Callithrix jacchus: one gene and its partner. The protein of the gene in region 2 purifies or fractionates together with the protein of the main gene of each other region. This does not show direct contact. Links are inferred from orthologs where the notes say so. Each region holds a gene or a part of one and is shown on either strand. Other genes may lie near its edges.

Region 1 (4,399 bases), on a different chromosome or scaffold from region 2:
GAGTTTATTTATCAGACTCTCCTATAATTCCCAAGATTAAAAAATGGCAAAGAAGATGGGGTCTGGAATCAGGTTAATGAAGAAAAACTGGCCAGGCACGATGGCTCAAGCCTGAAATCCCAGCACTTTGGGAGGCCAAGGCGGGTGGATCACGAGGTCAAGAGATCGAGACTCTCCTGGTCAAATTAGTGAAACCCCGTCTCTACTAAAGATACAAAAAATTGGCCGGGCGCGGTGGCTCAAGCCTGTAATCCCAGCACTTTGGAAGGCCGAGGCGGGTGGATCACGAGGTCAACAGATTGAGACCATCCTGGTCAACATGGTGAAACCCCGTCTCTACTAAAAATTACAAAAAAATTAGCCGGGCACAGTGGCGCATGCCTGTAATCCCAGCTACTCAGGAGGCTGAGGCAGGAGAATTGCCTGAACCCAGGGGGCGGAGGTTGCAGTGAGCCAAGATCGCACCATTGCACTCCAGCCTGGGTAACAAGAGCGAAACTCCGTCTCAAAAAAAAAAAAAAAAAAAAAAAGATACAAAAAGTAGCTGGACATGGTGGCACATGCCTGTAATCCCAGCTACTCAGGAGGCTGAGGCAGGAGAATTGCCTGAACCCAGGAGGCGGAGGTTGTGGTGAGCCGAGATCGCGCCATTGCACTCTATCCTGGGTAACAAGAGCGAAACTCCGTCTCAAAAAACAAAAACAAAAACAAAAAAAAAAAAAAGAAGAAAAACTAAGAAAGTAGCAAAAAAGGACCTGGCGCATCACACCTGTAACTCCAGCACTTGGGGAGGCCAAGGCAGGTTCGTCACCTGAGGTCAGGAGCTCGACACCAGCCTGGCCAACATGATAAAACTCTGTCTCTACTAAAAATAAAAAAATTAGCTGGCCGGGCGCGGTGGCTCAAGCCTGTAATCCCAGCACTTTGGAAGGCCGAGGCAGGTGGATCACGAGGTCAAGAGATCGAGACCATCCTGGTCAACATGGTGAAACCCCATCTCTACTAAAAACTACAAAAAATTAGCTGAGCACAGTGGCGTGTGCCTGTAATCCCACCTACTCAGGAGGCTGAGGCAGGAGAATTGCCTGAACCCAGGAGGCGGAGGTTGTGGTGAGCCGAGATTGCGCCATTGCACTCCAGCCTGGGTAACAAGAGCGAAACTGTCTCAAAAAAAAAAAAAAAAAAAAAAAAATTAGCCATGCGTGGTGGCAAGCGTCTGTAATCCCATCTACTTGGGAAGCTGAGGCAAGAGAATGGCTTGAACCCAAAAGGCGAAGGATGCAGTGAGCTGAGATCACACCACTGCCCTCCAGCCTGGGCAACAAGAGCAAAACTCCATCTTAAAAAAAAAAAAAAAAGTAGCGATAAAAACAAAAACGTTTTTCCTAACTAGAGACTTACTCTTGATAAAGTGTTTACACGCATCTAATTACAACTCTATATATGGCTTTCTTATATCCAGCTAATACCATGTTTTAGAAAACCACGGACCAACTCACATGCAATTCGTCTCTATTACAGGAATAAAGATATAGATAGCTGTGTCCAAGGCTTTAAGCTCAAAAGACTCAAGCTATGCCACAAAAATTAGTAATTTCCCTCAACAGTCTATCAAGGCTCAATCTCCATTATGAGTTCTGATTTCTATCCTTTAAAAACACAGCACAGACCTGACCATTTTCTATCAATAAGATACACTTGCTTAGGGTCCCTGCGCTGTTTCCCTTCCCAAAGGCCAGAGCCATGTCTGTCCCTTTGGGGTGGATGATGACACACAGATTCTTCCTCACTCTGTTTCCCTCTGCATTAAGTTCTATCCATGTGGAGGACAGAACAAAATCAGCCTCACTCACAAAACATCAGAAAACGTTCCACTGGAATACAAACAAAGGAATCAATGAAAAGAAAATCTGAGATCAGGTGTGGTGGCTCATGCCTATAATCCCAGAACTTTGGGAGGCCTAGGTGGGCAGATCACCTGAGGTCAGGAGTTTGAGATCAGCCTGGCCAACATGGTGAAACCCCATATCTACTAAAAATACAAAAATTAGCTAGGTGTAGTGGCTGTAATTCCAGCTACTTGGGAGGTAGAGGCAGAAGAAACACTTGAACCTGGGAAGTGGAGGATGCAGTGAGCTGAGATCACGCCACTACACTCCAGCCTGGGAGACAAAGCAAGACTCCATGTCAAAAAAAAAAAAAAAAAAGGCAGGGCATGGTGGCTCACACCTGTAATCCTAGCACTCTGGGAGGCCGAGGTGGGTGGATCACCTGAGGTAAGGAGTTCAAGACCAGCCTGACCATCATGGTGAAACCCCATCTTTAAATAAATAAATAAAAATTAAAAAAAAAAAGGGCCAGGTGCCATGGCTCACACCTGTAATCCCAGCAATTTGGGAGAGTGAGGCAGGCCAATCACAAGGTCAGGAGTTCCACATCAGCTTGACCAATATGGTGAAACCCGTCTCTACTAAAAATACAAAAATTGGCTGATGGCAGGTGCCTATAGTCCCAGCTACTTGGGAAACTGAGGCAGAAGAATCACTTGAACCAGGGAGGCGGAGGTTGCAGTGAGCCTAGATGGCGCCACTGCACTCCCGCCTGGGGGACAGAGGGAGACTCCAACTCCAAAAAAAAAAAAAGAAAGAAAGAATAAAGAAAATCTGATGACCACAAAATCAGGCTAAGAGGCTTAAAAGAGGAAAATCTAAATGTGTCTTCCAGAACTTCTAAGGTGTCTCACCTGGGACCCCACAATAAAGGTCCGAGTTTGAGAGTCCAGGGTCTTCACCAGCACCTCCAAACTGTCAGGCTCCTCCACAGCCGTACTGGTACTATCATTAGGCTCCATGGCCGACAGCTCTCTAAAGAAGAATGAAGAAGAAAGGCCCGTTGTCTCCCAGAGCAGCGTGTACCCGGAAGCCTCCCTAGCATTAATCCCTGCCCCAATACCTAAAAAGTTTCTCCTGTACAAACACACACATTCACACTTGCCCCCATCACCCTTGTAATTCCGGGGCACAGGGAGAGAAACACAAAGGGCAGGAGATCGACGGCATAGGAGCTGGAGGACAAGAGGTGGGAGGGGCTCCACGATGCCAATCACAATAAGGGGGGAGCCAGTCAGATTAGGAAAAAAGCACGAGACCAGAGACCAGTGTCATCACCGGTCACGACGGGACAAACGCCCCAGAGGTCACAAAATCCTGGGACAAGGCGAAAGCGGGGGTCGCGCCACACACTGCGGAGAAAGTGGTTTCGCGCACGCGCGCCACGCCCGTCGAACCCTAACTCACTAGACCCAAAACGGCACTCACGGGGCGCCGTACGAGCTAGCTGACTGCCCTCGTCTACTGCCTTCCCACGGTGTTCCAGCAGAACCGCACAACTAACCTACGGCCAACCACAACCACACACACACACATACACACACACCCAACGACCCCGCGGCTCCGCCCCCGACTTCCCCACGGACCGTCACTTCCGGTCTCCCCCAACCTGCCACCGACGGCCACTTCCGTTTCCACGATAGTATTTGGGGATCTCAAGGCGATACTTCCGGCTCCCCCCAGGTCCCCAAGCTTTACTTTTGTGGGGCACGACGAGAAAGTCCACAGCCCCAGTGAGTTTCTGAGGGCGAGTCGGGCCGGGGCCGGCCTAGGTGGGAGGGAGCCGAGGACCCCGAGGAGCCGCCGCCGCCGTCGCCCAGGGGACCGTACTACGCCTGCGTGCGTTGCACTACGTATGCGTACACACTGAAGCACCGCTCCACCCCCCTCTGTCGGCTCTCGCTTCTCCTATGCGAGCTCTTGAGCGCTGGAAGATTGAGGTGGCTACTGTAAATGCCTGAAAAACAATCGCCAGATGGGAGTCCACCACTGCTTCGAGAGGGGCTATGGACGGTCGCATGGACCTTGGATTTGGAGATGGAGGATTATGCCACATTAATCTATGTTTAAATTTTGGCAGGCTGAGAATTTCAGGCGGCACTGTCCTAGCCAGCTAAAACTCTTCCCGACCCTATCGCCCTCGCTGCGCCCTTCTTTCTCCGCCACCGGAAGTTACTTTCAGTAGGCATTTGGGGGCGGCAAGGATGTATTTGGGTTTTGGTTGGTTGTTTGGGCTAGATATCGGTTCTGCCGGGTGGGCGTTTTGCGGGCTGTGGGTGTCACGTTCGTCGGCGGTGTGCGGCCAAGGGGACATGACACGTTTTAGGAAAACTAAGCATGCTACTAACTCGCAGGACTTTTTTCAAGAAATGAGGCGCCTCCGAGTTTGAGAATTGGGAGCAAATGGAGTCCGAGTGGACCAAAAGACAAGACCCTGACGGTGGGGAATTGAAAGGCCGGCCAACGTGCTTCCGAAGGCTGGGGTGGAGGCATTACCGCCTCTCCGTGCC
Region 2 (3,809 bases):
TCCACACAAAAACTTGTACAAAAATCTTTATAGCAGCATTGTTCATAAAAGCCAAAAAATGTAAATAACCCAAATGTCTATAAGCTGATAAAGATTAATAAAATGTAGTATATCCATACGACAGACTATTATTATTTTTTTATTATTTACAGAGTCTTGCTCTGTTGCCCAGGCTGGAGGGCAGTAGTGCAATCTCAGCTCGTCTCCTGGTCTCAAGCAATTCTCCTGCCTCAGCCTCCCAAGTACCTGGGACTCCAGGCACCTGCCCCCATCCCCATCCCCAGCCAATTTTTGCATTTTTAATAGAGATGGAGTTTCACATGTTGAGTAGGCTGCTCTTGAACTCCTGATCTCAAGTGATCCACCTGCCTCAGCCTCCCAAAGTGCAGGGATTACAGGTGTGAGCCTTCACACCCAGCCCAATAGACTATATTATTTTACCATAAAAAGGAATAAAGTACTGACACATGCGACAAATGGATGAATCTTGAGAACATTACGCTGTGATAGAGACCAAACCCAAAAGATCTCATATATATGACTCCATTTATGCGAAATGTCCAAAACAGGCAGATCCCTTGATCCAGAAAACAGATTCCCAGGGTGAGTGGGAAAATGGGGAGTGACTGCTAATACACGAGGTTTCTTTTAGAGGGTACAAAATGTGCTAAAGTTAGATAGTGGTCATGGCTGCACAACTCTGAATTTACTAAAAACCACTGGAATGTACCCCATAAATGAATATATGCATTATAGCCTAAAAACGTAGATAAAAGAAAAAGCTAACTAAACAGCCTCCATTTCTTCATGTCCATGCTTTCAAGTTCTCAGCATTTCTTAGAAGCACACCCCAAATCTTTCTATTGGTCTTCTTGCCACTGACTTACACACTTTAAAGGGGTGAATTATATCTCAATAAAGCTGTTGTTTTTAACAAAAGGAGAAAGACAAAGACTAGCTTTCTCCCCCCGCTGCAGCAGATGAGCAACTGTAAAGTCATTTTCTAGGGATACATCCACAGGGGCCAGGGAAGGACCAGGACGTAGCATCACTGAGGGTCACGTCACACTCCAAAGCCATTCCGTTTTCCCGCCACCTACCTGGCTCTTCCATGTGAACAATGATCCAGTTGAAGGCCACCTCAGCGCCCATATTTCCAGTGAAGTACACAGCCTTGCGACATGCTTCCAGAGGGAAACCCATCTCGGCCAGCTGCATCACTGATGACTCATCAATGTCTGATGCTACAGAGCACAACAGGACAGGCTAGTGTGAAAAAGGAAACACTATTGCTTCTTGTCGTAGCTGCTCATCACGCTCTCATCCACACACTACCCAAAGAAAGCGCTGTTTTCTTGGGTGTAAATAACGGTTTCACTGTTTAGTTTTGTTGTAAGCCATCCAAATATTAAGCTATTTGGGCTAAGTTTATATCTTTGACCCAAATAGGACCCAGGTTAATTATCTGGACAATCCAATCTGGCAATACACTAAATCTCCCCATAGGAAATTAGAGAAAAACAATTCCGAAACGATTTCAGAGCATCCTCAACACCTCTCCAGCAGCCTCTCCTGTGGCTGAAACTTGAAGAGAAAGCACTATCTACAGCCAATAAAGCCTGTTCCTTAAACCTCACAGAAAGTCACTGCAGGCCTTTACATCCATCTGCAATCACAGGAAGCAATCAGCTCTGGGAGATGGAGAGTTCAAATGTTAAGTATAGAAGGAAAAAGTTCCTTGTTTAATTATGCAAGTTTAAAACACTGAGAGACAGATTTACCAAGTAACTTAGGCTCAGACACAAAGAGCTTTGTTTCCTTTTGTTAATAACATATAGATACTTGTAGAAATGTGTGTGAATCTGTGCATACATACGGATACAGACACGTACACACTGCTCTCAAATTATACCAAAAGAGGAGAAAAACTGGAATGGCGGGCCAAGATTCTGACCCACTGCTTAGCCTCATGCTAATGGTCACTCTCCTGAGCCCCACAGGCCACCTGATCAGCAAGTCACTGACTAGGGGACAGAGAATCGTTCCCACCCGGGAAAAGCAGCACATACAGATGTACAGAACAATGGCTCTGTACTGAACTCTCACACACAGGTTCATCAGATTAATAACAGTAAGACTTGAGAAACATTTTTAAAGATACATACGGTCTATCAGTTGGTTCATCAGGCGATCTGGAAATTAAGGGAGAGGACAGAAAATGAGAAGATTTAGGAAAAGAAAACCTGCTGTATCCAGGGTACCCCCCGTGCCCTCCCCACTCCTGGGGAGCTACACACTGCTGTCAATCCCACAACCCCACACAGACCGCCCCAGCCTCAGTGAGGAGAGAAAGCAATAGCTTTCAGGCATTAGGTCAGTTACAACACGACGCTCCGATCATTATCTGAACAAACTACCATTTCCCTATTACCTCCCTATTACTTCTTCTTGAAAAAAACTTTTTTTTTTGAGACAGGGTCTCATTCTGCTGCCCAGGCCAGAGGGTGGGGCAGCAATTGTGGCTCACTGCAGCCTCAACCTCCTGGGCTCAGGTGAGCCTCCTGACTCAGCCTCTTGAGTAGCTGGAACTACAAGCACATGTCACCAGTCACCACGCCTAGCTAATTTTTAAATTTTTTATTTTTTGCAGAGATAGTATCTCACTATACTAACCAGGCTGGTTTTGAACTCCTGGGCTCAAGTGATCCTCCCACCTCAGCCTCCCAAAGTGCTGGGATTACAGGTGTGCACCACTGTATCCAGCCTCTGTCTGTATTTCTAAGAGCTTTATGTAACTACAATCCGAAGATTCTATTATGAGCATCAGAGAGAGCCGGAGCAGCACTAATGAGCCATCCTGTGTTTATCTGATGCTGATCCTTCCTCAACCCCCTTAATGAACCACCTGAACTCTGTGACCTAGAACGTCCCTTCTCTAACTCTCTCTCTATGACTTAGCATCTGAGCCAACATCAGAGAACATACACAGACGTCTATCTGAATCCATCCTGTACCTTCTAGACTCACCTTGCACTTCCTTTATACCTGATCATGCTGAGCAATAACACTGACTGTTTGCTCAGTCGTTGCGAGTTAATTTACCTGAGTAACCCACCAGGCAGATGACAGTAAGCGGGCGAGCGAACAAAGCCAGAATGAAACTGAGTCAATCAGGATAACTGAGCTAATAATTAAACTAAGATTTTCCTGACACTGTTTTTGAACCCACAAAGGTGAGGCAACTATTTCTGGCATTTCTTTTTCCACGAAAAAGTTATGTATTCTGAACAGTGACCAGTGACAGGGTCACAAAGTCAAAGAGAAACTCAAACCTCTTCCTTTCTCCAAAGCAGTAACAGAGTTGGGGAGTTGAGATGCCGTCACGGTTTTTAAAACCAACTCATACTGTTGAATTTCCCCTTTGGGTTGTCCAAAGGTATTCCCAAGTATGCAATGACACAGCTTCCCAGACTAAGACCCTACAGAAAAACACTGTCCATTTCCACCACTCATGATGGGTCTGTGCCTCTTGCAATGTCTATTTTATGTTTCCTGCTGCAGTGTGCTGAGGGGGCGGGGGTTACATCACAGGAGGGCGGCCAGACGCCCCGTGGGTGGTGGCAGCAGCAACAGAGTGCTGAAAGGGAGAGTGTTCCTAGAGGACACGGTGTGAGGGTCGAGCGTGTTCTCCTGGCAGGAGATGGTACCTTTGGAGTCATCGGGAATGACGATGGGGGGGCTGATGTCTGGAAGTTCCTCCTCTCCCGGCTGCAACCCCCTGGCTCGGAGGTGGTTGATATCAAGCAGGT

What was found.
Region 1: the proteins of USP13 (region 2) and BAG6 purify together in Homo sapiens (affinity purification with western blotting; 3 studies listed by BioGRID and IntAct, with this or other methods). This does not show direct contact. The link is inferred for Callithrix jacchus from reciprocal best matches to the Homo sapiens genes USP13 and BAG6.

What each region holds. Positions count from the first base shown.
Region 1 is NC_133505.1:39,151,920-39,156,318, forward strand, and holds the start of BAG6 (large proline-rich protein BAG6), read right to left. Parts: upstream 3,074-4,399; 5' UTR 2,985-3,073; coding exon 2,953-2,984; intron 2,865-2,952; coding exon 2,744-2,864; intron 1-2,743. UniProt on the Homo sapiens protein: ATP-independent molecular chaperone preventing the aggregation of misfolded and hydrophobic patches-containing proteins.
Region 2 is NC_133516.1:7,987,978-7,991,786, reverse strand, and holds part of USP13 (ubiquitin carboxyl-terminal hydrolase 13), read right to left. Parts: coding exon 3,708-3,809; intron 2,193-3,707; coding exon 2,166-2,192; intron 1,245-2,165; coding exon 1,101-1,244; intron 1-1,100. UniProt on the Homo sapiens protein: Deubiquitinase that mediates deubiquitination of target proteins such as BECN1, MITF, SKP2 and USP10 and is involved in various processes such as autophagy, endoplasmic reticulum-associated degradation (ERAD), cell cycle progression or DNA damage response.